Elephas maximus indicus: one gene and its partners. The protein of the gene in region 4 purifies or fractionates together with the protein of the main gene of each other region. This does not show direct contact. Links are inferred from orthologs where the notes say so. Each region holds a gene or a part of one and is shown on either strand. Other genes may lie near its edges. The genes, in order: PFDN1, PRKAA2, PIP4P2 and PRKAG3.

Region 1 (7,734 bases), on a different chromosome or scaffold from region 4:
TACATTCTTCCTACACCTTCATACATGTTAGTCTCATCTACCAAAGTCATAATCTCTGTATCTGTAAGATGCGCATGCTTTTTCGTTCTGCTTAGCTGTTCAATCTGTATGTCTGCAAGCTTCACCTTCTGTTGAGTGTCAATAACTTTGGCTTGAAGCTCTGAAAAGGCCTAATAAAAACAAGTCCTGATTTAGTAAGTAAAATATTTTACAGGAAACATTTAAGTCAAATTCAAATAAAATAAAATAAAACACGCAAAACCCAGACAAAGCTGTGAAATTTACCAATGCAAACATCAATAAAAATCAATGTAACTGTAAACGATCAAGGCACTATGCTAAACACTGAATTTACACTGCCCTCTGAAGATCCAATGTATTGAAACAAGCAGAAGAAATGCACATTAAACAGTAACTGTAACAAGTCGCAAGCACCCAGAGTAATAAATGCAAGTTAGAAGAGAAAACCCAAAGATTAAAAACAAGAACAAGAAATGTAACAACTCACTACATTTGTATCATACTTCTAAGTTTCAAAGCATTCTCCCACATTAATTTGAATATTAATATGAGAATATCTATTAAATATCTCACTCCTCTCAATAACCCTATGAATTAAGAACAGCAGTCTCAACTTCCACAATTTACAAAGTGACTAAAATCATTAGGAGATTTGTGCACAGGGTTGCACAACTATTAGGTGAAAGGCAGGTACTTAAATCCATTTCTTTTGACCCCTATTTCAGGCATCTTCCATTTTACTGTCTTCAGTATTATTCAGAATATGGATATTTTTTAAGAGAAACACCAAAAAAGATAGAAAATGCAAAGCACTGGTAGAAGAATTGTGTCATGCTCTTCATACACACATGCCAAGCCAAACTCTACCCTGTGTATGCTTACTTAACTTGAACATAAACACAGGTCTTGGATACTCTTATTGAAGTGCCTGGAATGACTTCCACATGCTGTCAAACTTAAGCCTTACTAATAACATTTGTGACTACAGTACATGGCAAAGACTACTACTTAACTTTTATTCTGACTTTGTTCTCACCTACTAGTAAGGTATCAAAAGATTTGTTTGGGGGGAGGGAAGGCACCTAAAATTTCCCATTAGTCTCCATCCAAAAAAAGATCTTGAAAAAACATTAGAAGATGAAACCTTTGAACAAGTTTGCCGGGTTTTTTTTTTCTTTAATTGGTTGTCAGAACTATCCAATTTAAGTATCATTCTCATTTACATCTTTGTCTACATGTTTCTTAGCAACAAATTAATATTACAGGGTAAGTCCATTTAGTTTTTTTTGTAGTAAATTCAAATAATACTGTAAAGTCCATTCACACTTAAACTCCCTTGTTAGATCTTTCAGTAAACTACTAAATTTGAACTTTTAACAGAAAAAAAAGGTATAATTTTGGAATGCAGTCTGATAGTGTTCTGAAATGTAAAATTCCAGGTATTACCTGATTGTTCTCAACACAGTTTGTTAAGGAAGCTCGTATATTGTTAAAGCTATTACAGCACTAGAGAACACTACATAAGGGCTAAATTTACGGGTTTTAAGACAAAAAATGGCAAAAAAAGACACAAACACACAAAATCCTCACAGAAATAACAAACAGCTTCATTTATTAGGAGCAACAGCTATTTCAGCTGTCCTATTTCTTATGCACAAGCCCTGGTAGCACAGTGGTTAAGAGCTGGGCTGTCAACAAAAAGGCTGGCAGTTCAAATCCACTAGCTGCTCCTTGGAAACCCTATTGAGCAGTTCCACTCTGTCCTATATGGTTGCTATGAGTTGGAATCAACTCAACAGCAACGGGTTTGGTTCTGGGGTTTGATTTCTTATGCAAAGGCTGACCAGAAGGCAGTCTCAAGAAGTAATATGATGGACTTCTCAAGAACCTAAATTAATGGTCAAAAAAGTGTGGGGTAAGATAAAGAATACCGGATTCTAGTGCCAATCTTTGACTATAACTTTTCTGGAACTCAGTTTCCTTTTCTAGAGAAGTATACATTTAAGCTAGATGATTTCCAAGGTCCTTTCCAACCTCCCTCCGAAAAAATGGTATGGTTTTGGATGGTTAGGGTTAGGAGCCCCAGTGGCATGGTTAAGGCTCGGCTCCTAACTGCAAGGTTGCTGGTTCCAACCCACTGGCTCTTACGTGGAAGAAAGATGTGGTGACCTGCTCCTGTAAAGATTACGGCCTTGGAAACCCTATGGGGCAGTTCTACTCTGTCCTATAGAGTCACTGAGTCAGACTCGACTAGGCACCAATGTGTTCAGCGGTGTTAGAAACCTGGCAACTCTTAGATAACAAAATCTGAGTAACACATTTTTAAGCAATTATTTTAACAAAGAAACCCAATTCCTTCTGATATCTCTTTCATTGGTAAAACTTTACTGGACTTAATTACTTTTTTTGTCAAATCTTTCCCAAAAAGGAGCCCTGGTAACTCAGTGGTTATGAGCTCAGCTGCTAACCAAAAGGTCTGCAGTTCGAATTCACCCGCTGCTCCTTGGAAGCCCTACAGGTCAGTCCTACTCTGTCCTATAAGGTCGCTATGAGTCGAAACTGACTTAACAGCAACAAGTTTTTTTGGTTTTTCCGAAAAAGAAAAGGGGGTCAAAGTCCTGATATGAACATTCCTATGAAAATACCTGACTTTCTGAGCTGCAGAGACTGCAACCTTTCGAGGTACGGAATCAAATAAAAAAATTAAAAAACTGTCGCCGTCGAGTCGAGACAGACTCATAGCGACCCTACAGGACAGTAGAGCTGCCCCAATATGGTTTCCAAGGAGCGGCTGGTGGATTCGAACTGATGACCTTTTGGTTAGTAGCTCAGCTCTTAACCACTACACCGCAGGGCTCCATGGAATCGAATAAATGGCCTAAAAAGACAAGTTGGACTGGAGTTTTTCAAATCAAATGAAGCGGCAGAATTGCAGTTCAAGCAAGCCGCCCGAAGGAGCTCCAATCTGAAACGCTCTCTTCGAGTTTTACTATAGAACTGAGTCCCTGAAGGTTCCTAGCGCAACAAAACGGCTCTGGAGCTCAGAACGAGGGACAAGCCAGCGATCGGTCCGCAGACTTAAAGAGACCCACCCAACCGGCTCCTATCCAGCAAGAGCCACTCGCCCCCTCCCCCCCTTACCCAAGCCTAAGGAGACCCGGTCCCGCCTTAGGATTCTGGGAAACCACTTCCCAGTCCCCTGGAGCCTCTTTTTTTTTTTCTGTGGAACTCGGGCCTCAGTCGATACTCTTGTCTACAGGCCCCTCAGTTTCGAAAGAGAAACCTCTACCCGCTCAAAACCCTCTTTTACCTTCTTCAACTCCAGATCCACGGGGGCCGCCATCTTGGCTGACTTTGTGCGCCTGCGTATTGGGAGAAGGCCGGAAAGGAGACGGGGGAAGGGCGCGCCCTGAAGAAACTGCCTGTTCGCCTTCCTTCTACGCCTGCGCGTGAGTGAGGCGGTCTCTGAGCGGTTGGTCTGGCCTCAGAGTCTGTCTTCCCCACATGGCTTATCAGGCTTGAGTTGCTCTTCTCCATCCTTCAGACACGGCCCAACGCACAGACTACGTGTATGGGCTTAAAAAAATTGACAAATAGCTTAGTTTGTACTGCTAAATTGAGATGTATGTATATCAGACCAAACCTTCAGTTTTTCAGTCCTCCAGCAGGTCCCTGTGCTGACAGGGATGAGTAAGAATGGGTCCCTCGCCTCAGGCATGCTACTTTCATGCTGCTGAGTGCTCTCTGAAGACCTAGACAAAGTGGTTCTCGAGAGAAATCCAGTAAGTTTATTGAAAAAATACATGTTTCCTGGGCCTCATCCGGAACTTGTTAGTTGCCATGGAGTCTGCTTTGACTCATGGCGACATTATGCGTAACAGAAGGAAGCGTTGCCTGGTCCTGTGCTATGCCATATTTATGATCGTCGGTATGTTTGAGTCCGTTGTTGCAGCCATTGTGTAGTGCCATTTCACCTAGGGGGCTTATTTTCCACTATATCGGACAATATTCTGTTGTGATCCCTAAGGTTTTCATTGGCTAATTTTCGGAAGTAAATTTCCAGGCTTCTCTTCTTCATCTGTCTTAATCTAGAAGCTCAACTTAGACCTGTCCACTATGAGTGACCCTGCTGGTACTTGAAATACTAGTGGCATAATTTCCAGCATCATAGCAACATGTGAACCACCACAGAACTACAAAATGGCAGTCTGGTGGTGGCATCCCAAACGTACTTAAAATCTTTGACAGTGGGGCCTGAAAATAAGCATTTTGCAAACTCTCTGATGACCTAATGCAAGGCATTAGTGGGCCACATTTTGAGAATTTCTGCTCTAAAAGGACCTGACATTTGAACTAGAGGAATGAATAGTATTTGGACTTTTTGAAATGGAGGAAATAGATGTTTTATCTACCCTAAAAACTGAGGGAGAGGGAAGATCAGGGAATTTGGAACGAGCAAAATTCTGGATCTGGATTCAGGGCTTGGCCTACATTGAGCTTAGGTCTATTTGGTTCCATTTACTAACTGTGTGTCTCAGCAATTCATTTATCCTTGATGAGCTTCAATCTCCTCATATTTCACTTAGGAATAACAATATCGATCTAACAGGGTTATTGTGCAGAAAATGGGATCAGGATGAAAGTTCCAAGGACAGCACCGTGCACACAGTAGATAATAGATAGTTGCTGTAGTTAATATTATCCTGTTTGCCCTTCAAGGTCCAGCAAACATGCCACCTCTTCCGTTATGTCTTTTTTGATCCTTACATAACCTATCACACACACCAAAGATAATCCCTCCTCTAAATTCCCTCAAGACTATATCTGTTTCTCTCTCAGGGCACTGTGGTGCAATGAATCACTTTCACATGGCTCTTCTAGCCATGGTCTTGTACTCCCACAAAATGATTGGCTGGAACTATGCAAATGGAGTGACTATGGTCTACCAAGGGGATTGGTCAGTTTGTGGTCCTGGTGGGAGGGCCATGACTGGAAATTGACAAGGGGTTTCCTTACATAAGGGCCAATCACATAGAGGTTCAGGGGACCTCACTACCATCAGGAAGAAGAGTCTTGAGCAGAGCACGTCCTTTGGACCAAGGACCTTTGGGTCCCTTCCATGAGAACCTCCTCAACCAAAAAGAAAGCAAACACTGAAGACAGCATGAGATGGCAAGAGACAGTGGCTGTGAGCATGTCAGCCCACTGAGCAAGGTGGCTGTGGTGGGGTTGCAGGCCCACAGAGTGAGAGCTGAGCACCTTCGAGCAGAAGACTTACAGGCAGAGCTAAAATAGCTGTAACACTTGCCTGTGCAGGGCGGATGTCTGAGTGTGTCCCATGCAGGGGTTGCCTTGGATGACCCTGTGCAATATTCCTACTGCAGGGCGAAGCCGGGAGCCTTTGGCCAGGAGGCTTGCCACAAAACCCAGTACCATCGAGTCGATTCCAGCAGAGCTAAAAGAGCTGGTAACGCTTGCTCCTGCAGGGAAGAGAGGCCTGAGTGTGCCTCTGCAGTGGTTGCACACCTCCCTCCCTGGGCAGCAGGGGCCCAGGTAATGTGGAGGCAAGAGAGCCCTGCAAGCCTGGGTAGTGTGGCAGGAGCCAGCAGTAAAGGCCAGCAAGGCCCAGTGGCAGCAGAGGCCTCAGGAGCCATACAGGACCCCACAAGCATCATGGTGGTAGCCAGAGGCAGCAGTGACATGAAAACAGCATCTGACATCTGACCTGAACTATGGCAGTCCTGCCCTGCAACATAAGATGGACATGGATAATTTGGGGAAGGGTAAGCGATTCTCCTTTGGTGAATCCGTTGTTACTATTTACTGTTTGCTTTCTATAAATAATAATGGCTTTCACTTTCCCAACATTGTATAAGTGCCTCATATGTCCAGCTCGAAACAGATGAATGTAACACCCATAGAATTGGTGATGTCAGTGGGTGTACATGCCTCATTCCTAGCAGTCTGTGGCTGCCTGAAAGTTTGAGGCACAGACCGTCTGTATGTGTAAGGCAGATAGACAGACACGTAATTCATACAGGCGTGTAACAGTTTCTACCTTATTTTTTGAAACATTTTTTATTTGTTCTTACACCCCTTACCCCAGAACACCTATCATAGTGCCTCACAGGAAAGAAATACATAAGAAATCTTGGATATAAATGAATTCTTCAGAAGAAGAAAACTGTCATCACTCTCTAACTTTACAGAAAAACAGGCCTAATTCATAATTTTAGATCCTCTACTGCCTTCTTAGAACTTCATTATAAAAATTATAGATGATCAATAATAGTGACAATATTGAAATTTGAAGGTTTCGGATACTTTGCTGTGCATTTCATCATGTGATTTTGAAACGCTCCTCATGAAAAAAAAAAAAGTATGTAACATGAAAGTACGGGCTAAGGTCAGACAGTTTAGGTTCAAGTACTGACTCCTTAATATCAATGTGCCCCCAAAGACTGGACAGGCCCATAAAACAAAACATGGCTAAAGGGGAACACCAGCCCAGAGGCAGGGACTGGAGGGCTAGAGAGTATAGCAAAGCTGATAACAGGGAACTCAAGGTCCAGAGGGGAGAGTGTTGACATGTCGTGGGGTTGTTAACCAGTGTCATAAAACACTATGTATACTATTTAATGAGATGCTGGTTTGTTCTGTGAACATTCGTCTAAACTACAATTTTAAAAAAAAAAAAAGATCAATGTGCCCTTAGGCAAGAGTCTTCTCTCAATCTTTTGTTCATTGTTTCTTTTTGCATCCCACTCCTTCCTCCTTGGTTTAACTTCCTTCTTGATGAAATAAATCCTTCAGTAGGTTCTCTTATTAAGTCTTTGAGGAATAAACTTTCTTTTTTTACATTAATATATGATTTATTTTATTTTTGTTGTTGCTGAGCATATACATACCAGAACATACACTAATTCAACAGTTTCTACATATACAACTCAGTGACATTGATAACATTCTTCGAGTTGTGCAACCATTCTCACCCTCTTTTTCTGAGTTATTCCTCCCCATTAATATAAATTCACTGCTGTCTAAGTTTCCTTTGTAATCTTTCAAGTTGCTGCTGTGAGTTTCATACCATATAGATAGATCATAAAAGAGCACAATGCTCAAGTCATTCTTTACTAGTTAAGCAAAACTATCGTTTGGTTTTAAGAAGACTTCAGGGAATATTTTTGGTTTAAGGTTTAGGATTACCTCAGGGCAATCATTTCAGGGGTTCATCCAGCCTTTATGACTCCAGAAAATATGGTTTCTATGAGAATTCGAAATTTCATTCTGCTTTTCCCCCCTTTTGATCAGAATCTTCTATGGAATCTTTGATCAAAATGTTTAGTAATGGTAGCGAGGCACCATCCACTTCTTCTCGTCTCATGGCAAAGGAGGCAGTTGTTCATGGAGGCAATCAGCCTCACATTCCGTTCCTTCCTTCTATTACTGACTCTCCTTCTTCCTCTGTTGCTCCAGGCAAATAGAGACCAATTGTTGTATCTCGGATGGCTGCTTGTAAGCTTTTAAAACCTCAGGCACCAACTACACAATGAACTAGAAGGTAGAATAGAAGCACTAAACGTATTAGGGTGATTAACTGGGATGTCTCATGAAAAGAAACCGTAGTGGTGTAGTGGTTAAGACCTACGGATGCTAACCAAAAAGGTCGACAGTTGAAATCCACCAGGCGCTCCTTGGAAACCCTATGAGCCC
Region 2 (7,322 bases), on a different chromosome or scaffold from region 4:
AAGACACATGAAAACATATGTCCACATAAAAACTTACATGCACATGCAAATGTTCATAGTGGCATAACTTGTAATAACCCAAAACTGAAAATAATTATTGTCCATCAACTGGTGAAAACAATTTACCAATAGCATATCCATACAATGGAATATTATTCAGCATGTTATATCATGCATGAACCTCAGAAAGAGTACTCTAAAGAAGTCAGATACAAGAGATGCCATAGTGAATGATCCCATTTACATAAAATTACAAAATGTCCAGAAAAATCAAATTTATACAGAGGAAAATAGATCAGTGGTTTCCTAGGGCAGGGGTGGGAATGAGAATTAACTGTAAATGAACATGAGAGATCTTACTGTGGGCATGAAAATGTTCTACAGTTGATTTATGATGATGGCTGTAACACTTGATAAAGTTGCTAAAAATCACTGATTTGTACACTTGAAATGGGTATAAATATAATACATAAAATATACCTCAATAAAGCTGCTTTAAAAAATGGGTGTGCTTTTCCTTCATTTGTCTTGAATTAAATGAGTAACTGAGAATTGTAGTAAGTTCTATATTTTTTATTAAACAAACAATTCTACTGATCCTAATCTTTGATGGGAAACCACAGCATAACTTCAGAGAGGATCTAACACAGTGTTAGGAAACCTGCTCCTATTGTTTATTCACTGGACAGGGGTTCTCCAGAAAAGGATTTCTTGTAAATCAAAGTTCCTTCTGTTGGAACTTTAAGAAGCTAGTGCCTGGCAGTAGCTCAACAGTATATACAAAAGCAATTTAAGTCATCCTTTGACAATGGGTAATTGATCTGATGGGTATTCTAGTCTACATTCAGATTACAGTGGAGAAAATTAAAAAAAAAAAAAAAAATTTAACAATTTAAAAGGACAAGGAGTAAGTTATATAATTTCCAGAGTGTACACGTCCAGATGGCAAAGGCATTGTTTGTTTGAGTAACTGCATGATGTTGTAATACAATAGTCCTCGATAATGATAATAACAAGTTAACGTTACAGGTATTAATCCAACATCTGATCTTCCTATATTCATTCTAAACATATTCTATCTACTCTATGAGGTTTTTCAAAGGTAATTCAGGACTTTATAGCCTTCATGGTACTTCAGAGAAGCTCGCAACCTTCTTAAGGTCTTTACACAAATATCACTTTGTGAGCCCCTTCCTAACCTCCTTATTGAAAATTGCACACCTCACAAAACTCCCTATTCTCCCTACCTTACTTCATTTTTCTCAATAACACTTACTACAATCTAAACATACTATATATTTTACATATATTTTGATTATTGTTTGCCTTCCTGATTTTGTTCCTTGCTGTATTTCCATTACCTAGAACAGTGCCTAGCACACTGTAGGTGCTCATTAACTGCTTTCTGAACAAATGAATGGACATTAAAAAATGGAAAAGTAAATAGAAACTGATCCTTACCACAGGAATTTGGGAACAATGAGTCTCTTCTACCTATTCAACGGTCTGGACTTGAAGCTAAAGCATGATTTTAGAAGAAAATAGAGACCTCAGAATAAAATGTCCAAACTATCTACCTAACATTTTCTACAGAAGAAACAAACAAACAAAAAGTCAACCCTTCAACAATCAAACAGAAAATACTTTTAATAAACTGGCTCTAGTTCTGGAGAGAAGACATGTTAAGTAAAGCCCAAGTGACTCTTATGGGGGGGGGGGGTGTTTATACATAACTAGTTAAGAAGTAGAAAATTCCAAAAGTAGCCCCAAAATGGGATCCTATCATCAAGAAAACAGACGTCAGCAGTATATGCCTTGGCAGGTTTGCCCCTCTGAGCCCAAATCTTCAAAAGTTCAGTACCAACAAACCTTATTCCTTTTCCCCATCCCAGAAACCTTCCTTTGACAAACACCAACCAATCTCCCATTTCTAATTAACCCATGACTTAATCCAGCGGTATTCCAGCATTTCACATAGCCAGCAAAAAGACCTACCCACCTCCTGGCCCCTGGAGCATCCGCTAAACCTCCAGCCCCACCAACTGAGACTCAGCATTAAAGAATCTAGGAATGGCAGGGAACTCCCAGCAATGCCAGAATTGGAAGACATCTTAGACTTCATCCTGGTTCTGCCAATTTGTGTGACCTTGGGCATGTTACTAAACCTCCACGGATCCCAGTTTTCTCACCTTTGCAGTGAAGATATCTTCACCAAATTGGGATTAAAGATCACACTAAAAGCACCTAACAGGGCATCTGGCCCGTAAAAGAAACTCAGTAATCAGTAAGATGTATTATTCCAGTCTCCCATTTTTACAGGCGAGGAAACTGAGGTCCGGGGAAGTGAGAAGTGCCTTGCTCCAGACCACTGGAAAGTGAAATCGGCACCGTACCAGGAACCCGGGTCAAATGTCCCCTGCACCCACACCCTCGCTCCTCTTCGCCCGACCCCTTCCCGGAGCCACCAAGCTCCGCGCGGCCCCGGGCCGCTCCACCTGCCGCCAGGCCCTGCACCCCGCCCGTCCGCCCGCCCGCCCGTCCTCCCGCGGCCCGGGGCTCCAGCGGTTCCCGCGGTTCTCCCGGCTCGGCCCGACCTCCAGCGCCTCGGGCAGCCCCGCGCGGCGGCCTCGAGCGCATACTCAACTCTTCACTTTGCCGAAGGTGCCGACGCCCAGCGTGTCCCCGAGCACGTAGTGTCCGATCTTCACCCGCCCATCGTGCTTCTGCTTCTCAGCCATCTTCGGCGCCCGCAGCCCGGTGCGGCCGGCGGCTCCTCAGTGCGGACGCGGACGCGGACGCCGCCGCTGCCGCCTACCCACAGTGCAGCGGGACCTGCGGAGGGCGGGGGCCGAGTCGGGAGACGCCGAGGGGCGCAGGCGGCGGTGACCGGTGCGGGCGCGGGTCCCGGGAGGACGGGAGGTGGCGAAGAGGAGGGGCCTGGCCGAGGTGGGAAACGCGAAACGGGCGGCGAGCCGGGCGCTCGCACCGTAGAGAGGACGTGTGGGGAGGCGGACGCTCCCGCGCCCGCGCGTGAGAGACGTCTGTGTGCGGGGCCCGAGGCGGCGAGGCGGCGAGGCGGCGAGGTCGTGGGCCCGGGCCAGGAGTGAACGCGGCGTCTCAGGAGGATTTGAGGGAGGGGTCCCGAGCCAGGTGTGGGAAGTCCGAAATAGGGTCAAAAACAGGCAGGTGCTGCGAGGAGGGGGATAAAGGGACACGGCCCGGGAACCCCTTATGAGGAAAACTGAAGGCGGTGACAGTGCGAAGGTGAGATTTGGGAAGAATCTTCGGAAATGGAAAAACGTGAAAGTAGCAGGAAGGGATGTAAAAAATATATATCTATGGGTATATAAAAAATAAAAAAAAAAAAACTAGTGCCATCGATACACATAGATATATACATACGCTGTGGGTGTGCGGAAAGTCCAGGGAGGGTGGTGGGAAGGACCTTGATCAAACGGCAGTCTGAGGAGAGCTAAAGGAAGTTTCTCGAGACAGGACCTGGCTGTTTTTTGATTGGCCGTGGTACATACAGAACCCAATTCTATGCTTTCCTTAATTGTTCTTTACATATTTTATAATTCCCAGTTATTTTGCCGTGTAGATGGAAGAGACCCTCTTCTCCAGAGCTCTCAATTTTAACTAATTTGCACAAAGTTTTCCAATAAATCAAAGTCACAGTGTTTGCTCGGTTGTACTTCAGCACATGCTCAGGTAAATCTGTAGTACAAAAATACTAGTATGTGACAGAGCTGTACAAAGGAAAAAGAGTGAAAGAAATGAAAACTGAATGTAATAAGCATAGAAAGTAAAGTACCTAAGAGGCAAAGAGGAATTGTGAAGAGCAAGGGCAATAAAATGGCCCAAATCAAAGAAATAATAAATATGATAAAGATAGAAGTGAAAGAAAAATAGTAAGTGGAAACTAGAGGCATGACACCCAGGCAGAGTGTTAAAGACTGACAATTTGGCAGTGAAATTATTTCCTTCTTTCCTTAATGTGGTCATACCTTTCAGTACTTAACAAGATTATTTACTGTTTAGGGACAAATTATTAAAGATTAGATGAACATTTAGGTAGCTGAGTGGTGCAAAAGTTAGTGCTTGACTACTAACTTAGAAGTTGGAGTTCAAACCCACCTAGCAGCCTCACAGAAGAAAGGCCTGGTGATCTGCTTCCATAAAGATTACAGCCAAGAAAACCCTATGGAGCAGTTTTACTCTGTAACACATGGGGTTGTACCGGGTTTGGTTTTTTGTTCGTTTGTTTGTTTTTAATTAAACATTTATAACACCGTATGTGTCAATAGAGTCTAAGCTCACATTCTTCAAACATGAGGTCCCTTAGCACGCTGCTTGTATGTAAAGAGAAATGTATGGCTAAGAAAAAATAGGTATAAGAGAAGTTTGTTTTCTTTGAAGTACTTCATATACAAATGGAAAATACACTTTCATTCTTCTTTAGACACCAAGACAATCTGCTGAGAGATGATCACAGCTGATAAATTATAGATATCACAGCTGTTGAACAGAGCTATTTTTGTTCATTCTTCACATCATCTTTCTTTCTGACAAGAAGTATTTAAGAATCACTCAACTGAGCTGGCAATTTGGAGAAAATAGTCATTTTGATGCTGAACTTTCATTTGGTTAGGGGTCAATCCTTCAATATTCTTTAAAATGAGTAAGAAAATAAAGTACCTACTCTGTTTTTAAGGTAATAAGGTGTATGTCTGTCTTTTATTCCCATTATTAGGTGCTGTGGAGTTGATTTCGACTCAATAGTGACCCCATGTGACAGAGTAGAACTGCCCCGTAGGGTTCTTTTGGTTGTAATCTTTAAGGAAGCAGACACCAGGTCTTTCTCCTGAGAAGGCACTGGATGGGTTTGAACTGCCAGCCTTTCAGTTAGCAGCTGAACGCTTAACTGTTTGCACCAGCAGGGATCTTGGCCTTTTATTCTAACACCCCATTAAAAGAAGCCAAAAAGTTTTCATTTGTAGTTAGATTCATTTCTTGAAGCTGTGTGAAGAAAGATTATAGATTGAGTTTTTACAGCATTTTTATACCACTAACCCAGTGCCTAATACCACTATTCATTGATAATTACAATTTAAATTATTATATATGTCATGTCTATAATCATTGCATAAGTCTATGTAGCATTATTATGTATGCTGCTTGGTTGATTAAAGAGTTCATTTAAACCCAGTTATCCCATTTAATTTTCATAGAAGAAATTTATTGTTTTATAGGTAATAAAACTAAGCTTCAGAAATGTTTTCCCGTTTTTAAGCAGAATCAAATATCCAGTGCTGACTCATCCATTTTTTTTTTTTTCTATATCACAGCTGCTTAGGAAAAAAGAATGTATAGTACTCTAAGAAAGCTTCAAATTTTCACAATTGTAGTCCCATTCTGTTTTTATTATTTTTAGGATAAGCCAATAATATGCCCTTTAAACGTATTTTCCATTGATTTTCCCAACTTAAAGGAAAGATTAAAGGCTTAATAGGTACAATGGAAAAGGACAACTCTTGATGGCAGTACTAGTCTTTCTTCTGTTGCCATGAACACTTCATGTATGGTTTCCTATTTTCATCACCCTACTCAGCAGGCAAAACATAACAGTTAACCAAACCAAATCTCCTAAAGAGTCATATCCTTGGCACCTACTTGGTCATTATTAATCTTCTATGACATCACTGATCTATTTCTAATTATCAATATAAAACTGCTGTGGGTTCTCTGAAATCAGGAACCTATCAAAAGTCATTCCTTCTTGGGGGGAAAAATCACAGTAAGTAAATCAACACGAACTAGAAACACAATGCAGAATCTCACATTTCCAAACTCACCTTTAAACTGCAGATCCAAACCAAGTAATCCAAAAAAATATCTAGAACAATAAAAGCTCTGTGGGAAGATTTCACAACTCACTAGTGGTTTGGTCACAGCAGATTTGGAGGTGGGCAGAGGAAGCCACTAAGTCAGGGAGGGAAAAGCTCTCACTACCTGACTCTGTTTTAGTACCGACACAGCATTTCCTGCTCTGACGCTTTTTTTCCCTATTGTAAAAATATACATTATACAACATTTGCCAATTTCGCATCTTTCACATGTACAGTTTAGTGACATCAATTGTATTAACGTGATATGCAACCATCACCAATATCCACTGCCAAATTTTCTATCATCATAAACAGAAACTCACTGCTTCCTAAACGACTCCCCATTTTCACTCCCTCCTGCCCCTCGTAACCACTAATAAAACTTTGGTCTCTATATAAAAACAAAAAAGAGTCATATCCTTCGGGGTCTCATTCCCAAAAGACTTTTTCAAAAATGTAATATCCCTCATTTTATTATTTTTCAGTGATGTTTTAGTGTCCTTATGTTGTTTAGCACCAAGCCCTAAGATGGCCAACTCCAGGTAGCCAAACAGTTCTTAACTTTGTTCCAACCGTTATTAATTTTCCTTCCTACTAATGGTCTTTGGTGTCCCTGGTGGTGAAATCAGTTAAGCACTTGACTACTAACCAAAAGGTTGGCAGCTCGAACCCACCTAGAGGCACCTTGGAAGAAAGCCGTGGTAATCTGCTTCCAAAAGGTCCTAGCCTTGAAAACACTATGGAACGCAGTTCTGCTCTACACACACGAAGTCTCCATGGGTAAGATTCAATGGCAACTGGTTTGTTAAAGGGCCTTTGGGTTTATTTTACTTTGGTAGCCTAAAGAAGGACCCAAATGGGAGAATAACGGAGTGCCACTAATCTAATGTATTATACTAGATTCCATTGGTAATATCAATTCCTACAAGTATTTGCTCAGAGTCACCTTCACACTGAGGCCTGCCCTGACCACCCTATTTAAATTTGCAGTTTCACTTCAGCCATGCTCCCTGCTCTGCACTCTATATCCCTTCTATTTTCTTCAGTATTTTTCCATGGCACTTGCCTTCTAACATCCTGTTTAATTTACTTCTTTATTATGTTTTCGTTTTGTCTGTCTTCCCCAATTAGAATGTAAGTTACACAAAAGAGAGTTTTTTTTTGTTTTTGTTTTTTTTTTCTTGTTCTCTGTTTTGTTCACTATGTATCCTTAGCTCCCAGAGCAGTACCCAGCGCATTATGGGACTCAAATAGGTTCAGGTTCTGTGGCTCCTGAAGTTTGCACAATTTGGAGGGATATCTTTTAGGAAAAAAATACAAAATTGAGTATGAAAATGAATATTTACTTGAAATGAAAAAAAATCACAACCATCTACAAATTTTAAAAAGCTTATAAATACCACAAACCTCAGCAAATCCAGAAAAATACATTTT
Region 3 (7,404 bases), on a different chromosome or scaffold from region 4:
TCCAACAGAGCTTCCACACTAAGACTGAGAAGAAGGGCCTGGAGCCAATGAAAACCCTGTGGATCACAATGTTGTGCCTGGGGGTCACATGAGTTGGGGGGCTAACTCGATGGCAGCTACCAACAACTATTGCTAATAATACTGCTTCCCACTAAATTATTAATAACCTATCTAGAAAAAACATTCCACTAACTTTCAACCTGACATGGAATGTTGTATTTTGGGATGGGTGCTCACGTTGCTGTTCTTAGATGGTGACACAAAGAGCAAAGGGTTGGAATGGAGAAAATATTCCCTAGTTACGGCTCTTCCTTAAAAAAAAAAAAAAAAATTCTGGGTAATTATAAATGGTATCATAAACCAAAGTTCATTATCAAAAAGTACATTCTATTTCTGTTCTTTTGAATCTCAACATTCAGCTCTAATTGCTTTCAACTACTAAAAACATCTGCTGTAGTGACAGAATTTCTCTTACTACCTGAAATAACTAAGTCATATATATATATATTTTTTATATATTTACTTCTTCTCCCTCCCCCCTCCCCCGTCCCCACCCCCACTACAACATCTGCTCCACCAGGGCCTGGGTCTGGTCAATCTTTAATTTTTTTTTTTGTTCATCTAGAGCAGCGCCTGGCACATTGTGGTGTCCAATAAATTACTAAATGAATGAACAGCACCAGTCTTCTAAAGTTAAACCTTCGATATGAACTAAGACTATTTTGATTCAATCAATATGAAACAGTATTAAAAAATAAACTTTATGAAGATGCTTATTTGTTATTTATTATGAAAAGATATTCTGCCCAAATGCAAAATACTTGTCTAGGATTTATAACCCTCATTTATAGGTCTTGCCTCATAGGTACTACACCATAGGAAAATCACCTCCCTGATGATCTAATCTCACACGTTAGAAAAATTCTATTTTACCTTAAGGCAGAATGGCCTTTTTGCTAAATCATTAAATTTCTATGGTTGCTAAAAATTTTCTAGAATGAAACTAATTTTCCTCCACTGCCAAACTGGAACTTGTACCTTATTGTATAGTTTGAGGAATTTTATCAGCTTCAATCAATGTATGGTAAATGATACAATCAGGTCAATGACTATGATCATTTTTTGGAATAATTTAGCTACTAGGTAGCTAAAAATACAACAACAGCAACAAAAAGAATCAAAGACAAAGGATAGTCTATAGGACAGTGACTTATATCCAAACTCTCTCTCTTAATAAATTGTGAAATATTTTGTCTTAAAAGAGTGACTTGATGAAGTTGAAACATTCACTGATGAATATTTAAACCTATTCTAGACAATATAACTTAAATAACAGTAAAATCCCAGTATTATTATTATTATTATTAATATCAAATTTTCCATTAAAGGAAATTCCTCCATTTGGAGTCCTCTAACAGAAGTTTAATGTTGACCAACCAACATGACTTCTGGGTTTTCTGTGAGTTGAGTCTCGGTTCCATTTTGCGCTTTATTTCATACTCATCCATCACACCGAATTATTCCCAGGTAAACTTTTCTTTTTTCTTTGTCCTGCTTCTTTTAAGTATGGATAAAGATTTAGGTTGCTGCTTTTCAAGTTATAATGTGTTGAATGGGAATTTTAAATGCTAGACAAGTTGAACCTGCTCTACAGCTGCTCCAATTCCAGGCTTGAACTCAGAAGAAGTTTTGTTACAAGAAACATGACCTGCTCGTATTTTTAAAAGCATTAACTTTTTGTCTCCTTGGGTTTTTAAACTTTCTTCACAACCAGCTAAAAAGGAGAGAGATGTTCTTAAAGCTAAATTTCCAAGGGCCATATGTGGCCAACCTTTTCACAACCCTACCTGGGGCCCTGGTGGTGCAATGGTTAAGTGTTTCGCTACTAACCAAAGGTCCGCAGTTGGAACCCACCAGCCACTCCCTGAAAACCCTGCGGGGCAATTCTGTTCTGTCCTATAGGGTTGCTATGAGTCAGAATCGACTCAATGGCAACGGGTTTGGATTTTGGTTTTTCACTACCCTAAGTGGTTTCTTAAAGTCTTGTCCTCCATTTTCTGTAACTCCCTGACCCCTCTTTATTTCTACTATAGGAATCAGCTGAAAGGCTTAGAACAAAGATAGATCTTTGAATAGGTTGAACAGTTTGTTAAATAGATTACCTTTTCTTTCTCTAGACCCCAATGCCATCAAATCCTTTTTAATTCTATCTTGAGAAGAACAATAAATAGAAACGTATGCTGTATTATTTTGGATTACTTTTTAGAAGTTCATTTCAACCTCACCCAGATACGCATCAAAAATATCCCATTTTTCTTTCTATCAAAAGTTAGATTCTTCCTCCCCATTCACAACTAAAAGCCAACACATACTCCCTACAAATAGGAGCAATAAGGAAGGGTGAGATTTTCACACACAATAGGAATGTTGTTCAACTAAATTCATTGTGGTAAATAAAGTACTTCCCTGACTGAACAGAGCCCTGGTGGATGAACGTTAGGGGATGCATATTCTACAAGCTGAAGCCCTTTCAAGGACAGATACCAAGGTGAGCAATATTCCCAGTTTCTCAGGAACCCGAAAGGATTTGTGAATGATTGTGAAAGATTTGCACCACCTCCCAGCTGCACTTACGGGTTGCTCTAAAAAGAGGAGCAAAGCCCAGCTCGTGAAATTCATGGCACATCCTTTACCCCTGGTCAAGAAGTAATGAAACACACACACCATACAATACACACACAACACACACACACACACACACACACGCACGCACAGAGAGAAGCCCTGCGGAGAAGCTATTAGGCAGGAAGGTTCTCCTTCAGAAGGCAGTCGGCATTCCCTCTCCCCCAGTCCAAGTGAGATTCTCGCCTTCGCCTCTGAGCTTGAGCATCCCTGGTCTTTTAGATTCTAGGCTTTTCCTTGCAAAAGTAGAAAGGTCTAGGCTGGCCTTACCTCTGGGGCTGCTTTCTTGTAAGTACGGTGGGGCCGTGGGAGTGACATTGCCCGAGTGAGATGCTGACAGCAGGGGCGAGCGTTCGTCCACCCCATCAGCAGCCATGACTGCAGCAGCAGCGAGGCCAGAGGGAGGCTGAGCCGGGGTTGCGGCTTTGGTGGAGGTGGCGTCTAATGCTAATACTGCCGCTGCTGCCGCTGCCGCTGCTGCCGCCTCCAAGAGGGCCCAGGATGTGTCACAAGGCAGAAGGCTGGGGGATGGGAAGATGCGGGAACAGGAGGCGGGGGAGGGGAAGCGCGCCGGGAAGCATGACTAGAGGAGGTGGAGAGAAGAAAGAAAGGGACTGGGAGAGGAGGAGGGGAAGAAAGGGAGGAGCAGGAGCCAAGCCCCACAGAGAAAAAAGGAACACATTAGGACGGACTGGGAAATGTGGGAAAAGGAAGGTGCGAAGTAACCAAAAAAGGGGCGGAGTAGATGGAGAGGGGGCTATACAACTCTTCTTTTCTTTGTATTTTGCATTTTCTTAAGTAAGGAAAAGGAGGGGAAAGGGCAACCTGAAAACGGGCTGTGACTTGATTACAGGAAAACTAGAGCAAACACAGATATCAAGTTTAGTCCCTCTGGGGAGGAAGAGGGACTCTTTGCTATCAAACTTTGCAGCAATTATATGAAAAAAGTTTATTCCTAGGGTTGTCAATTCTTTTTTGAGAGGTTCATCTTTTGTCATGCAAAAGCTTTTCAACATCTCCAGTCTAAGAGGAAGTATACATTTTTGAATGTGTTGGCATACCCTGCTTTCTCTTACTGCATTTTTTAATACCTGTTTGGCACTCTAGTAATAAGTACCTAATTAAAGCCGTACATAGTGCGTTGGCTTCTTTAAGTCTCATTTTACGAAATAGGTTGCTATCTTACACACACAGGCAGCCCCAGGTTACGAATGTCCGACTTTCATACAACTCACTACAACTAACCAACATCCCCCCCACCCCCCGCAAAGCCTAGTATATTAAAATTTTGTGGTACATACAATGGTTCCTAAAAACAAATGGGTGCCTCACATCAAGCATTATTATTAGTGGGGAGGGTTGGGGAGGGGGAAATCACTAATTAGATAATAGACAAGTGTCAATTTTGGTGCTGAGAAAGACAACACACAATATATGGGAAGTCAGCACAACTTGACCAAGGCAAAGTCATAGAAGCTTCTAGACATACCCAAATACCATGAGGGACTGAGTTGCTGGGGCTGGGAACTGTACTGTCATGGGACTTCTAGATCAATAATTCATAAAGAAAATGTTCTACATCCTACTTTGATGAGTAGTGCCTGGGGCCTTAAAAGCTCGTGAGCAGCCACCTATTGGTCCCATCCCAGCTGGAGCAAATGAGAATGAAGAAAGCCAAAGACACAAGGAAAATATTAGCCCAAAGGACTAAAGAACCACATGAATCAGAGCCTCTACCAGCCTGAGCCCAGAAGAACTACATGGTGCCCAGCTACCACCACTGACCTTAGATAAAGATATTTGAGTATCTGGAAGTGTTTCTTTAATTTTTTTTATGCATAGAAAGATGCACTATATAAATAAAAAATAAAAAAAAAATACTATATACTAAAACAAACATTTGACTAACTGACAGTTAGATATCAACCATAACTAACTATTCCAACTTACCACAATTTGACTTTTAATGACAGATTAGGAACAGAACCCATTCCTAATCCGGAGACTGCCTGTACAGTAATGAAGTTTAAAAATAACGTAGGACAATTAAAAACAAGTTTCTTGAGATAATTAATATTTTAAAATAAACTTTTACATGTAAATGAGTAAACAAATATAAGTACATTTCTTGCTTTCTGTGTATATTTTTATTTTTTGATTGCCATATTATCCTAGGGAGTGATTTGCATAAAATACAAAAACAAATCAAAGTTTTGAACATGCCCAGATAATAATATTACAGGAAAATAGTAACGGTCTCCAATGATAATTTTCCTGCAATGAGTCTTTGAGTCATTCAACAAACATTTATTGCATTTACTGGGTCTACAGAGATGATGAATAGGGCATGGTCCCTGTCCTCAAGATGCCTAAAAGATCACACAGTCAGAAAAGAAACCAAAGATGAAGCTGGTAGTCCTAGATGTAGTTTTAAAGGAGCATGAGGAAAAGCAGACTTTAGACATTTGAAACTACTTTTCACATTACATTAAGAATGGTCTTGGTTTTGCTCTCTGAAGACACACTGTACTCTTTCTTCCAGAAAATCCACTTAGGCATCAGCTAGAAATCCTAAGGGGAAATAAAAGAATGGTATTTTCTATTTTGTGGCAGCTTTTGTGGGTCAGTAAAATCAGGATACAATATAAGGATCCCCATGTAATATAATCCAAGGACATTTATTGGTGCAGTGATTAAGCGTTCAGGTGCAAACCACAAGGTCAGCAGTTCAAAACCACCAGCCGCTCCTTGGAAACCCTATGGGGCAGTTCTACTCTGTCCTATAGGATCACTAAGAGTCAGAATCTACTTGATGGCAATGAGTTTGGTTTGGTTTTTTGGAGGAACCTGGAAGGGGAGGGGTCAAGATGTAGCCCTCCCTGCCAAAGTGCCTGACATTTACAAAACAAACAGCCTTGTTACAATAGCAGTCTGGGTGCTATCAAGTTAAAGAAAACTTTTTAATAAGAGTCACTAAAATCCTGTTACTATGTTTTTTTTTTTTTATTTATAGTGTCCTATCATGTCACTTGGAGGAGCCCTGGTGGTGCAGTGGTTAAGCACACTGCTGCTAACTAAAAGGACAGCAGTTGGAACCCACCAGGTGCTCCTCAGAAGGATGTAGTAGCAATCTGCTTCTCTTCTGTAAACATTTACAACATTGAAAACACTGTGGGGCAGTTCTACTCTGTCCTATATGGTCACTATGAGTCAGAATCAGCATGATGGCAACAGGTTATCGTATCACTTAGCACATTCTTTTGTTTACTTCCCATTACCCACCCTCCACTCCCAACTGATTTTGTGAGGTCAGAAGCCATATATATCTCATTCACTATTATATCTCCGGTATCTAGCACAGTTCCTGGCATGTAGTAAAATAGGCACTCAATATTTGCCAGAGAGAGGAATGAGTGAAAAAATAAATTCTCCACAGTCCCAGAAGCTTACTAGAACAAATTATTTCACAAGAAAATTAGGAGAAATTCTCAGCTTTTTGATGATGACAGTTTTGCCATCTGACTGCCCAGTGTTTTTGTTTTCTAGTATATCTCTATAACTAGGGTTTCTATATTGCCCACATCATGTTCAGTAGAAGAGGTTTTTTTTTGTTGTTGTTGCCTTCTTCCATTACATAGATTCTCAAAAATTCATTTGAGAGTGACAGCTAATGACAATTACTCTTCTTGCAATATTTAAAAAGGTAGTAGGTATACTGAGATTTTATTTGCAGCAATGTTGTTTCACAGAAAGCAAAAAAACTTGTATTAGATGAGTATCATTTCATTCTAGTTTAAAGAGAATACAGAATTTTAGGGTTGCTCAGTAAATGTTAACTAATATTCATCAGTCAAAGGCATTTTTATGATTGTGGCACTTTGCCATTTCTACTGATGAGATGAACTGATGTGTATGTTGGAATAAAAGGTGCTATATAAACAGATAATTTATGAGGGAGTAGGAAATGTACTGTGCTTAAGCTAGTGTTCCAGTTACCTACCGCTGAGTAACAAATCACACCAAAGACCAGTGCCTTAAAACAATGTGATTTATTATTTCTTATGATTCTGTAGGTTGATTGGGTGGTTATTCTGTCAACCTCGCTTGGGCTTACTCATGCAGGTATGTTCAGCTGGCAGGTGGGCTGGGAGCTGGGCTTGGTTGCAACAGCTGGGATGGCCGGGTATAGTCTTTCATTACAGGCTTCTTCATGTCTGTTAGTCTCAAAGCAGTTTCTATGAGGGCAAGGTGGAAGCCATGAGGCCTCTTAAGGTCTAGGCTCTGGTTCTCAAACAAATTCACTTCCACCACATTCTATTGGTCAAAGGAAGTCTCTTCATCTGCAATGTCACATTGCAAAGGGGCATGGAACACATGAAGTCGTGATTCATCGAAAACCATTATATAACTATGTATCAATCTTCCCTCTGCCTACAATGATTCATGTCTGTCCTACAAGCAAACTACACTTTTCTATTCCCAAGACCCCAACATTTCATTTAATCACCGAAGTCCAGGATTATGTCATCCAAATTAAGTCCAGATGCAGACAAGGCTCCATGTGTTTGGTTCCACAGGTACATTATCTGTTGATTCACAGGCCTGTAAACTAAAAAAACAAATTGTAAGCCCTCCTTATTGCTCTTACCCCAACATATAACAATGAAACTGGGTCAGAATAATAGCAATAAACTCTCCCATAAGGATGGGGGAGGGGAAGGA
Region 4 (7,336 bases):
AATCACATCCCATACTGTGGGTGATACATATATGATGCTTTGGGAAACACTGCTCTGCTGTAATGATGGTAAGACTTGAAGCATAGACACTTTGTAGTTTGGTTGAGTGGAAAACAGGGACCAGAGTTCATTCCCTACTCCTTGTCCTGAGAGACTCTGCAGTGTCTTACACGTGCTTCTCTGTCTATAAATTGTTCCCGTTTACAATGGGTGGTCCCAGCAGTGCTCTCTAACAGGTAGGGCATAGCAGGCATTCATATACCCATTTCAGGAATGAGAGAGGTAAAGTAGCTGAACCAAGGTCCCACAGATAGTAGGTGGCAGTGCTGGGATGACAATCAGGTGGTGTTCAAAGAAAACATAAACCCTCCCTCCACCCACTCACTGGTCTCCATGGAGCTAAGAAGGAACCTTCGAAGGGGACATGCAGGGGAATGTGGCAGTGCTGTGAGAATGGAGACTGAGCTTAGTGGGACAGAGCTGTGCCTCACCTCCAGCATGGTGTCAAAGATGACCAGCTTGGAGCTGGTTGCCATGGCATCATAGCAGGTGTGCTCCTGCATGAAGTGCATGTAGACCTGGGCCCCGGGCTTCCGAAGTTCGTCGTCCCAGCCCATCTTGGGCAGCGGAAACTTTGGGGACGGGCATGGGGAGGGCCTGTCTTCCACTAGGCGTTCGAGCTCATATCCACCGTCTGGTGTGGCTGGGAACTCTATGTTCAGCGCCAGATCATCTGTGCTGGAGCCCCCAGCTGAGATGGCACAGTCAGGGGGCAGGAGGTCCCACCCTGTTGGCGGGGTGCCTGGGCAGGCCAGGGGAGCAGCTTGGGCCAAGGGTGTGGCCTTGGGGAATGTGGCCTCTGGCTTGGTGGATTCAGCAGCTGGCCTGGATGGGAAACCTGTGGAGAGGGGAGGGAGGACATTAACTCCATCTTCCGAAGCACTTGGGAAGCCTGGCTGCTGTGGCCCCCATTTTGCAGGTGAGAAAGCTGAGGCTCAGAGTCACACAACAAGGTAGTGGCTCTGTCCTGTCTTTCTGAGTTGGCCACACTGGGCCCCTGGGTAGACTGAGTCTACAAGATGAAGGTTGGGTCCAACTCTGTGTTATGGACAGACTCAGGGCACAGTCCAGCCCCACACTCTGGGAGTTCCTACAGCCACCACTCCCCCCTCCTCCAGCACTGACCTTGGCCTCACCTTTCCCCAGGCCTGGCAGCTCCCCTTCCTCCACAACCTCCTGCCTTGTCCATTTGGAGGCCTTGGCCCCCTGTTTCCCACAGGTTCTTTCTGACCTGGTGGTCATGGTGGGTGATGACCATGAGGCACTATCTCCTTGCCCTAGGAAGCTCATCTCTGGAAGGAGAATGGGGTCTATTTGGTTAATGGGGAGTGACACAACAAAATCAATAAAGTTTAATTAATAACGATATTTGCAAGATTCTAAAGGGCTTTTCTCCAACACTTTTCTCATATAAACCTCATAGCAGCCCTATAAGGGAGGCATTGTTGTCATTGCTATTTTACTAGTGAGGGACCTGAAGTTCAGAGAGGTTAAGCAATTTGCTACAAATCACACAATTAGTAAGTGGTGAAGTCAGGACTGGGGTCCAAGTCTTCAGACTTCAGATTCTTCCTCTCTTCTTCTGGAAGAAGGAAAGAGGAGGTGAGGAAAGCAACAACTGGGGAAAGGAGGAAGTGGAGACAGAGGGAGAAGGAAGGAAAAGGAGAGGGAGATAAAAGCCAGGCTGGTGGGAGGGGGGAAATTGGGGTCACAGAGAGGTAGGGGGCAAAGGGAGTCAGGGAAAGGTTAGGCCCCCTGGGAGAGGGGCAGGACCACCTACCTCGATGTTCAGGCTCTCCAAGTCTGCTCCAGGATGGGGTCTGTGGGGAGAAGTATGTCTGATGGGGAGGGGAAAACTCCTTAAGTTCTTAAACCACAGGACCTCCCCTCCCCACCACACACACATACACACACACTTACTCATATACATATACACAGACACACACATACCCATACACATAGACACACAGACGCAAAAACACACATACACACAGACACACAAATACCCATATACACATACACAGGCACACACACACATACATACACACCCCCACACACAGAGACACACATAAACACATACGCAGCCATACACAAACACTAATATCCAACCACTCAGATGCACACAGAACTACATACACTCACGAATGTACAGACACAGACACCCACAAGCTGACATACACAGAGACAATCCAGACCAAATACACACATGCTCTCTCTCTCTAGCCAAATGTGCTCTCATCCTCTGCCCCAGCTGCCCCAGCTGCCGCCCGTCTGAGACCCCTATACCCTGCTCAGTGTGTGCTCCGGCTCGTGCTCCATGCAGCCAGCCCTGGACCCACGGAGAGTGAGTCCGCGACACTGTGGCTGGGTAGCACTATTCTGGGCCTGGCCTCTGGCACCCTGCCCTCTCCGGATCGGTTTCCTTCTGATTGGGTGTCAGGCTGTGGGGAGGGAGGGGTCCATCCACCCAGCTGCTCCAGCCCAGCGGCCTGGGGGGCAGGTGGGGAGAAAGGGGAGCATGTGGACATCTTGATGCCTGGCCCCTAATTGCCTCCTGGGTCTCTGAGGACAGGTTACATGAGAAACTGCCTGGGGGAGGCCCCTGGAGCATTGTGGGGGCATGGGGCTGGGAGGAGGCGGGTTTCAGAGTTCCAGCTTCCTACTCTGAGAGCCTCTGTCACTTTTGTCAGGCTCCAAAGGAGGGAAAATGGAGGTGGGTTGGGCCTGACTTTCTCCACTTGAGTTGGAAAGTGCAAGCTACCTGCTCAGAGGCTGGGGATAACCCAAGAGGCTTGTGGGTGATCCTGGGAGAGGCGCCAATATCTGTCCAGAGGTTCTCATTTGAGTCTCAAGAGTCTGTCCCTCTCTCTGGACGAGGGGCTGGAGTGGGGGTAGTTCGGGCAGGTGGGGAGCTGTGGGGATCACCTTGAAGCTATGGGGTGGCATTGAGGGCTAAGGGCCTGTACTTCTTCACAGGGTGAGACACCTGTTCTTACCTGCGGTTGGGAGGTATGTCTGGGTGTGCAGGAGCCTCGGCAACCCCACAGACTGCGTGTGTTGTCCCTGCAATTCCTGGAGCCAGCGGGATCCCAGCCTGACTCTGTAGGCTGCCCACCCCCACCCTACTTGGCATTCCTGGGGCCTGAGTCAATGTCCAAATAGGGAATGCTGACCCAGCTGCTCCAGCTCCCCTCTCCCTGCCCCTCCCTTCCTCTCCTCCTTCTAGCCTCTTCCATCCCAGTCCCTGGCCCTGCAGTGGACACTCAGGAATGGATCCATGGATTTCTTGCATCATCCCTCAAAACCCATGTGCTGCGTGTGGGGCGTGGATAAGAACAGAGAAGGGGAAGACTTTGCCTTTCATATGTATCGTGAAAGGGGATGTGTGCAGCCCTTCTCCCACTTCCCCATTTGACCCTCTGGAGATCCCTGTGGCCTGGCCCTATCTGGCCACAGATGATGGAATTTCCAATGTACTGCTAATGTGGATGCCTCAGATGGTAGAAAGACCAAGTGGACCATCTTTGGTTATATGTAATGCAGTGGACCTGGAAAGCCCCCTCAATCCCTGCCCCACCTCCTTATGCTTGGAAAAACTCCGACCGTTGGTGTGTGTTAGCTATGTCTTGCTGCTAGTAGCAAAGTTCTACAAGAGAGATGCGCTCAGGTTAAATAGAGGAGGTGGTTGAGAAGAGGCTGCCTTAGCAAGGGCTGCACATGTGGTCCATAGCCTTTCTTAAGCACAAACTGTTGAGCAGAATCAGAATAATGGAGTGTCTTCACAGCCAAGCATGTTTTCTCAGATGGCCTCAAGATAACCACCAGTAGTTTGAAAGAGGGGAGAATAGGAAGAATATCAAGTATAGCATATTCAAGCGTAAAATTGATGTCTACACAGTACTGTTGACTGTGGTTACTCAAATAAGGAACTGGTCAGAAGCCTTCTAAGAATTTGAGGGCATTGTATTGAAAAAGAAACCAGGAACCTGATCAGCAAAGTCTAGCTTGACTCCCCCCAAATGCCCCCAAACCCCAAGTCTGTACCAGCAGAAAGAGGCCTATGAGAACTGTGGGGTCCACAAGGAGGACACGTTCTCCAATGGGCCACAAGGATAATGGGTAAGGAATAATTCCTAGGAGGCAAAGCCAGAGGCCATACCGGGGAGTGGAAAGGGGTAATCCTCCCAGAGAACAGAACCAGAGGTGGCCAGATACACTGACCAAGAACTTACTCCACTGCCAGGAAGGGGCTTTGTAATCCCTGCCCAGCTGGTTTTAGTAATTGTTAAGTTCAGTGAGTGATGGGTGTTTGCCATTCTTTGCTATCCTGAGTGGATGTTTTAATTGAGCTGTCCAGTTCCTGTTCCACTTTTGTTATGGGGAATGGAGGGGTATACTTCCGCCTTTCAATTTTTAGGTCACCAGACCATGAGGAACCCCATCCAGACCTGGTAGAGAGGACTGCTCAGAGATCCTGGACTCTGAGCTGTGTGCTGTCCCAACTGGAACTTTGTCTTGCCTCCCTTGGAGGAGTGGTGAATGTGTTCTTTGTGTGGGGTAGCCAGGCAGTGGGCTCTGACAGAGCAATATCTATTCTCCTCTTCTTGCTCTGCTAGTAAATCCTTAAGATTTTAGCTGAGCACAAGATTATATTTCCCAGCTTCCTTTAGAGATAGTGGAAACCCTGATGGATCAGTGGTTAAGTGCTATGGCTGCTAACCAAGGGGTCAGCAGTTCAAATCCACCAGGAGCTCTTTGGAAACTCTATGGGGCAGTTCTACTCTGCCCTATAGGGTTACTATATGTTGGAATCAACTTGATGGCAATGGTTTTTTACACACAGTATGACTATGTGACTTAAGTTTGGCCAATCAGATGTGAGCAACAATGTGGTTTGCAACTCTTAAGGGTGCCCTTAAAAGGAAGTGGCAGATTTTCCCCTTCCTACTGACTTTTTTTACTGACTGGAATCATGATATGATGGTGGGAGCTTGAGCAGCTATTTGAACCCAACCATGGAAGACAGATGTTGAAAATGATAGAACCTCCCCCAGCCCCATCCTGGCCACCTAATTTTGTAGAGAAATAACTGTCTGTCTTGTTTAAGCCACTGATAAGTTGCGCCTTTGCTACAGCCACCAAGCCTCTCTCTAACTCATACATCTACCTGTATCACAGATTGGGGTAGGATTAGAAATTACATATGTCTGTAATAACCCTTAATGTTTATGCAGAAAAAAGCCCTGGCAATCTACTTCTCAAAAACCAGCCATTGAAAACCCTACGGAGCACAGTTCTGCTCTGACACAAAGTGGGGTCACTGTAAGTTGACATCAACTTGGTGGCACCTGGTTGGTTGTTGTAAGTGGTTACTATTGTTATTACCTTGCCACCTGCTTCACAGTTCTCCTAGACCTCCAGCTACGAGGCTCTGAAGGCAGGCAGGCATGAGAGGGCTCTGACTCTAGTAGTTATTACTTGGTGGCGTCAAAGGTGGAGTAGAGAAGGGCCTCAGAGGAGGGGGCAAACCCCGCACTGCTCAACACCAAAATCATAGTGATTTTGTGCCCTTCTCCTGCCTCTGCCCTGCCCCTGCGCTCTCCCTGCTCCTTTGCCCGCGCTGACCCTGCTCTAACCCTATCCTCCTGCCCCTGCCTTATCCCTGCCCCGCCCCTGCCCAGTCTCTGTCCTCCTGCCCCTATGAATCCCCGCCCTGCCCCTGCTTTGCCCTCATTTTACCCTGGCCCTGGTCCTTGCCTCAGAACTCTAACACCTGCTCTTGCTGCCAGCCTACCCGCCACCCATCCTCTTTGGCAGGGAGAATCAGCAGAAGGTGCTGGCTTCGGATGGATAATAAATACTTCTCAGGTGATTGATTTTAGCCTCTGGTCATGGCATCATATTTCTTGAAATCTTACTTCTTGGCTTGCTTGCAGAACTGGGTGTAAAATAAGGACCCTGCACCCTGACCCTAGGGTGAATTTGGCTGCCATCTCTGGATAGCTGATTTGTCTGGGACATGGGGTCAGGGATCCTGTTTAAATGTTATTTTTATATCAGAGGGAGAAAAACAGCTTGAGGAGGCCAAGAGAGTTGCCTCAATGAGACCTATGACTGATAAATCTCAAATGGGGTCCCCTCGTGTCAGAGTGGTTGGAAGCACCCTTCATGCCATTCACCCAGACACTCCAGCTCCCGTCCTGTCTGTGTGGGTGAAAGAGAGCTGCATCTGTGCCTGTGTTCCAAGGACCTGTCAGAATCAGCACCTTGTTAGTACAGCCTACCCCAGGCACCCTTATTGAGCCTTTTTCTGTGAGCTGTTGGGGATCATAGTGGAGAGATGGTGCTTTTATCTACCCAGTACCCATGTACCCCTCTTTTGGAAAATCCCTGAGTTTTCCTTCAGGGAACCACACTTCCCCCAATCTTAGAGCTTGTGATTTGGGAAGGGTCAACTGTGGGCCCCAGGAAGGATGCCTTTGATTCAGACTTAGTCAATTAACACACAAATTCCCCCGGTCACATTGGTTGGGAGGACATTGACAGAATTGGTACAATAGGGATGAATCCTGGGACTTTTGCTAGGCCTAATGGAGAGGAATTTCTTTCCCCTGGATTTGGAGCTGTGAGGATGTAAGCGTAGAGATTCTGGAGGCTACCATGAAGAGAGGGCCTATCTGAGAATGAAGCCTAAACAGAGGGCAAAAGAGCCATGATATGATGAGAAAGACTAAGTCTTCCTAACATTCATTGAGCCCCTAGATCAAACTATACCTGAAGACCCATCACTGAATTTTTCAATTAGAGCAACCAATAGACTCTTTCTTGGCTTAATGAGGTTTGAATTGAGTCTTCTGTCACCTGCAGCTGAAAGGGTTCTAACTGACACTGGAACTAACAAAGTATCAGAAGGCCTAGACACCTTCAAAGACTTCTGTAGTGATGTTTATACCACTACATTTTCCCAAGAAAAAGACTGCACATTTGAAAAAGCAATAATAGTAAACCAGTAGGGTATCCATGGGGTAAAAAAATACTTGGGGAAAATAGAGTAAAAGAAGGATTGGGATGAGACAAGTTTGATGAAGGAAGGCTTCCTAAAGAAGGTGCATTGGGATATGGATATGCCAGTGTGGGAAGATGATGACTGAGGACCAAATACCTCCCCTGGTGCCCCAGACCTCAGCCTTACCTAAGTACTCAGGAACTTAGACAATCCCCGGGAAGATAGGGAGACTCTGAATTAATTGAGATGAAATTTCTCAGAAGGTAGGAT

The links.
Region 1: the proteins of PRKAG3 (region 4) and PFDN1 purify together in Homo sapiens (affinity purification with mass spectrometry; 3 studies listed by BioGRID and IntAct, counting the BioPlex papers as one, with this or other methods). This does not show direct contact. The link is inferred for Elephas maximus indicus from reciprocal best matches to the Homo sapiens genes PRKAG3 and PFDN1.
Region 2: the proteins of PRKAG3 (region 4) and PRKAA2 purify together in Homo sapiens (affinity purification with mass spectrometry; 3 studies listed by BioGRID and IntAct, counting the BioPlex papers as one, with this or other methods). This does not show direct contact. The link is inferred for Elephas maximus indicus from reciprocal best matches to the Homo sapiens genes PRKAG3 and PRKAA2.
Region 3: the proteins of PRKAG3 (region 4) and PIP4P2 purify together in Homo sapiens (affinity purification with mass spectrometry; 3 studies listed by BioGRID and IntAct, with this or other methods). This does not show direct contact. The link is inferred for Elephas maximus indicus from reciprocal best matches to the Homo sapiens genes PRKAG3 and PIP4P2.

The regions. Positions count from the first base shown.
Region 1 is NC_064820.1:153,560,860-153,568,593, forward strand, and holds the start of PFDN1 (prefoldin subunit 1), read right to left. Parts: upstream 3,397-7,734; 5' UTR 3,365-3,396; coding exon 3,332-3,364; intron 171-3,331; coding exon 4-170; intron 1-3. UniProt on the Homo sapiens protein: Binds specifically to cytosolic chaperonin (c-CPN) and transfers target proteins to it. Binds to nascent polypeptide chain and promotes folding in an environment in which there are many competing pathways for nonnative proteins.
Region 2 is NC_064821.1:100,485,595-100,492,916, reverse strand, and holds the start of PRKAA2 (5'-AMP-activated protein kinase catalytic subunit alpha-2), read right to left. Parts: upstream 3,056-7,322; 5' UTR 2,739-3,055; coding exon 2,645-2,738; intron 1-2,644. UniProt on the Homo sapiens protein: Catalytic subunit of AMP-activated protein kinase (AMPK), an energy sensor protein kinase that plays a key role in regulating cellular energy metabolism.
Region 3 is NC_064833.1:50,887,559-50,894,962, reverse strand, and holds the start of PIP4P2 (type 2 phosphatidylinositol 4,5-bisphosphate 4-phosphatase), read right to left. Parts: upstream 3,249-7,404; 5' UTR 3,059-3,248; coding exon 2,953-3,058; intron 1-2,952. UniProt on the Homo sapiens protein: Catalyzes the hydrolysis of phosphatidylinositol-4,5-bisphosphate (PtdIns-4,5-P2) to phosphatidylinositol-4-phosphate (PtdIns-4-P).
Region 4 is NC_064824.1:117,394,910-117,402,245, forward strand, and holds the start of PRKAG3 (5'-AMP-activated protein kinase subunit gamma-3), read right to left. Parts: upstream 3,158-7,336; 5' UTR 3,057-3,157; intron 2,550-3,056; exon of another isoform or gene 2,502-2,549; 5' UTR 2,380-2,501; coding exon 2,347-2,379; intron 1,899-2,346; coding exon 1,841-1,898; intron 1,353-1,840; coding exon 1,197-1,352; intron 899-1,196; coding exon 492-898; intron 1-491. UniProt on the Homo sapiens protein: AMP/ATP-binding subunit of AMP-activated protein kinase (AMPK), an energy sensor protein kinase that plays a key role in regulating cellular energy metabolism.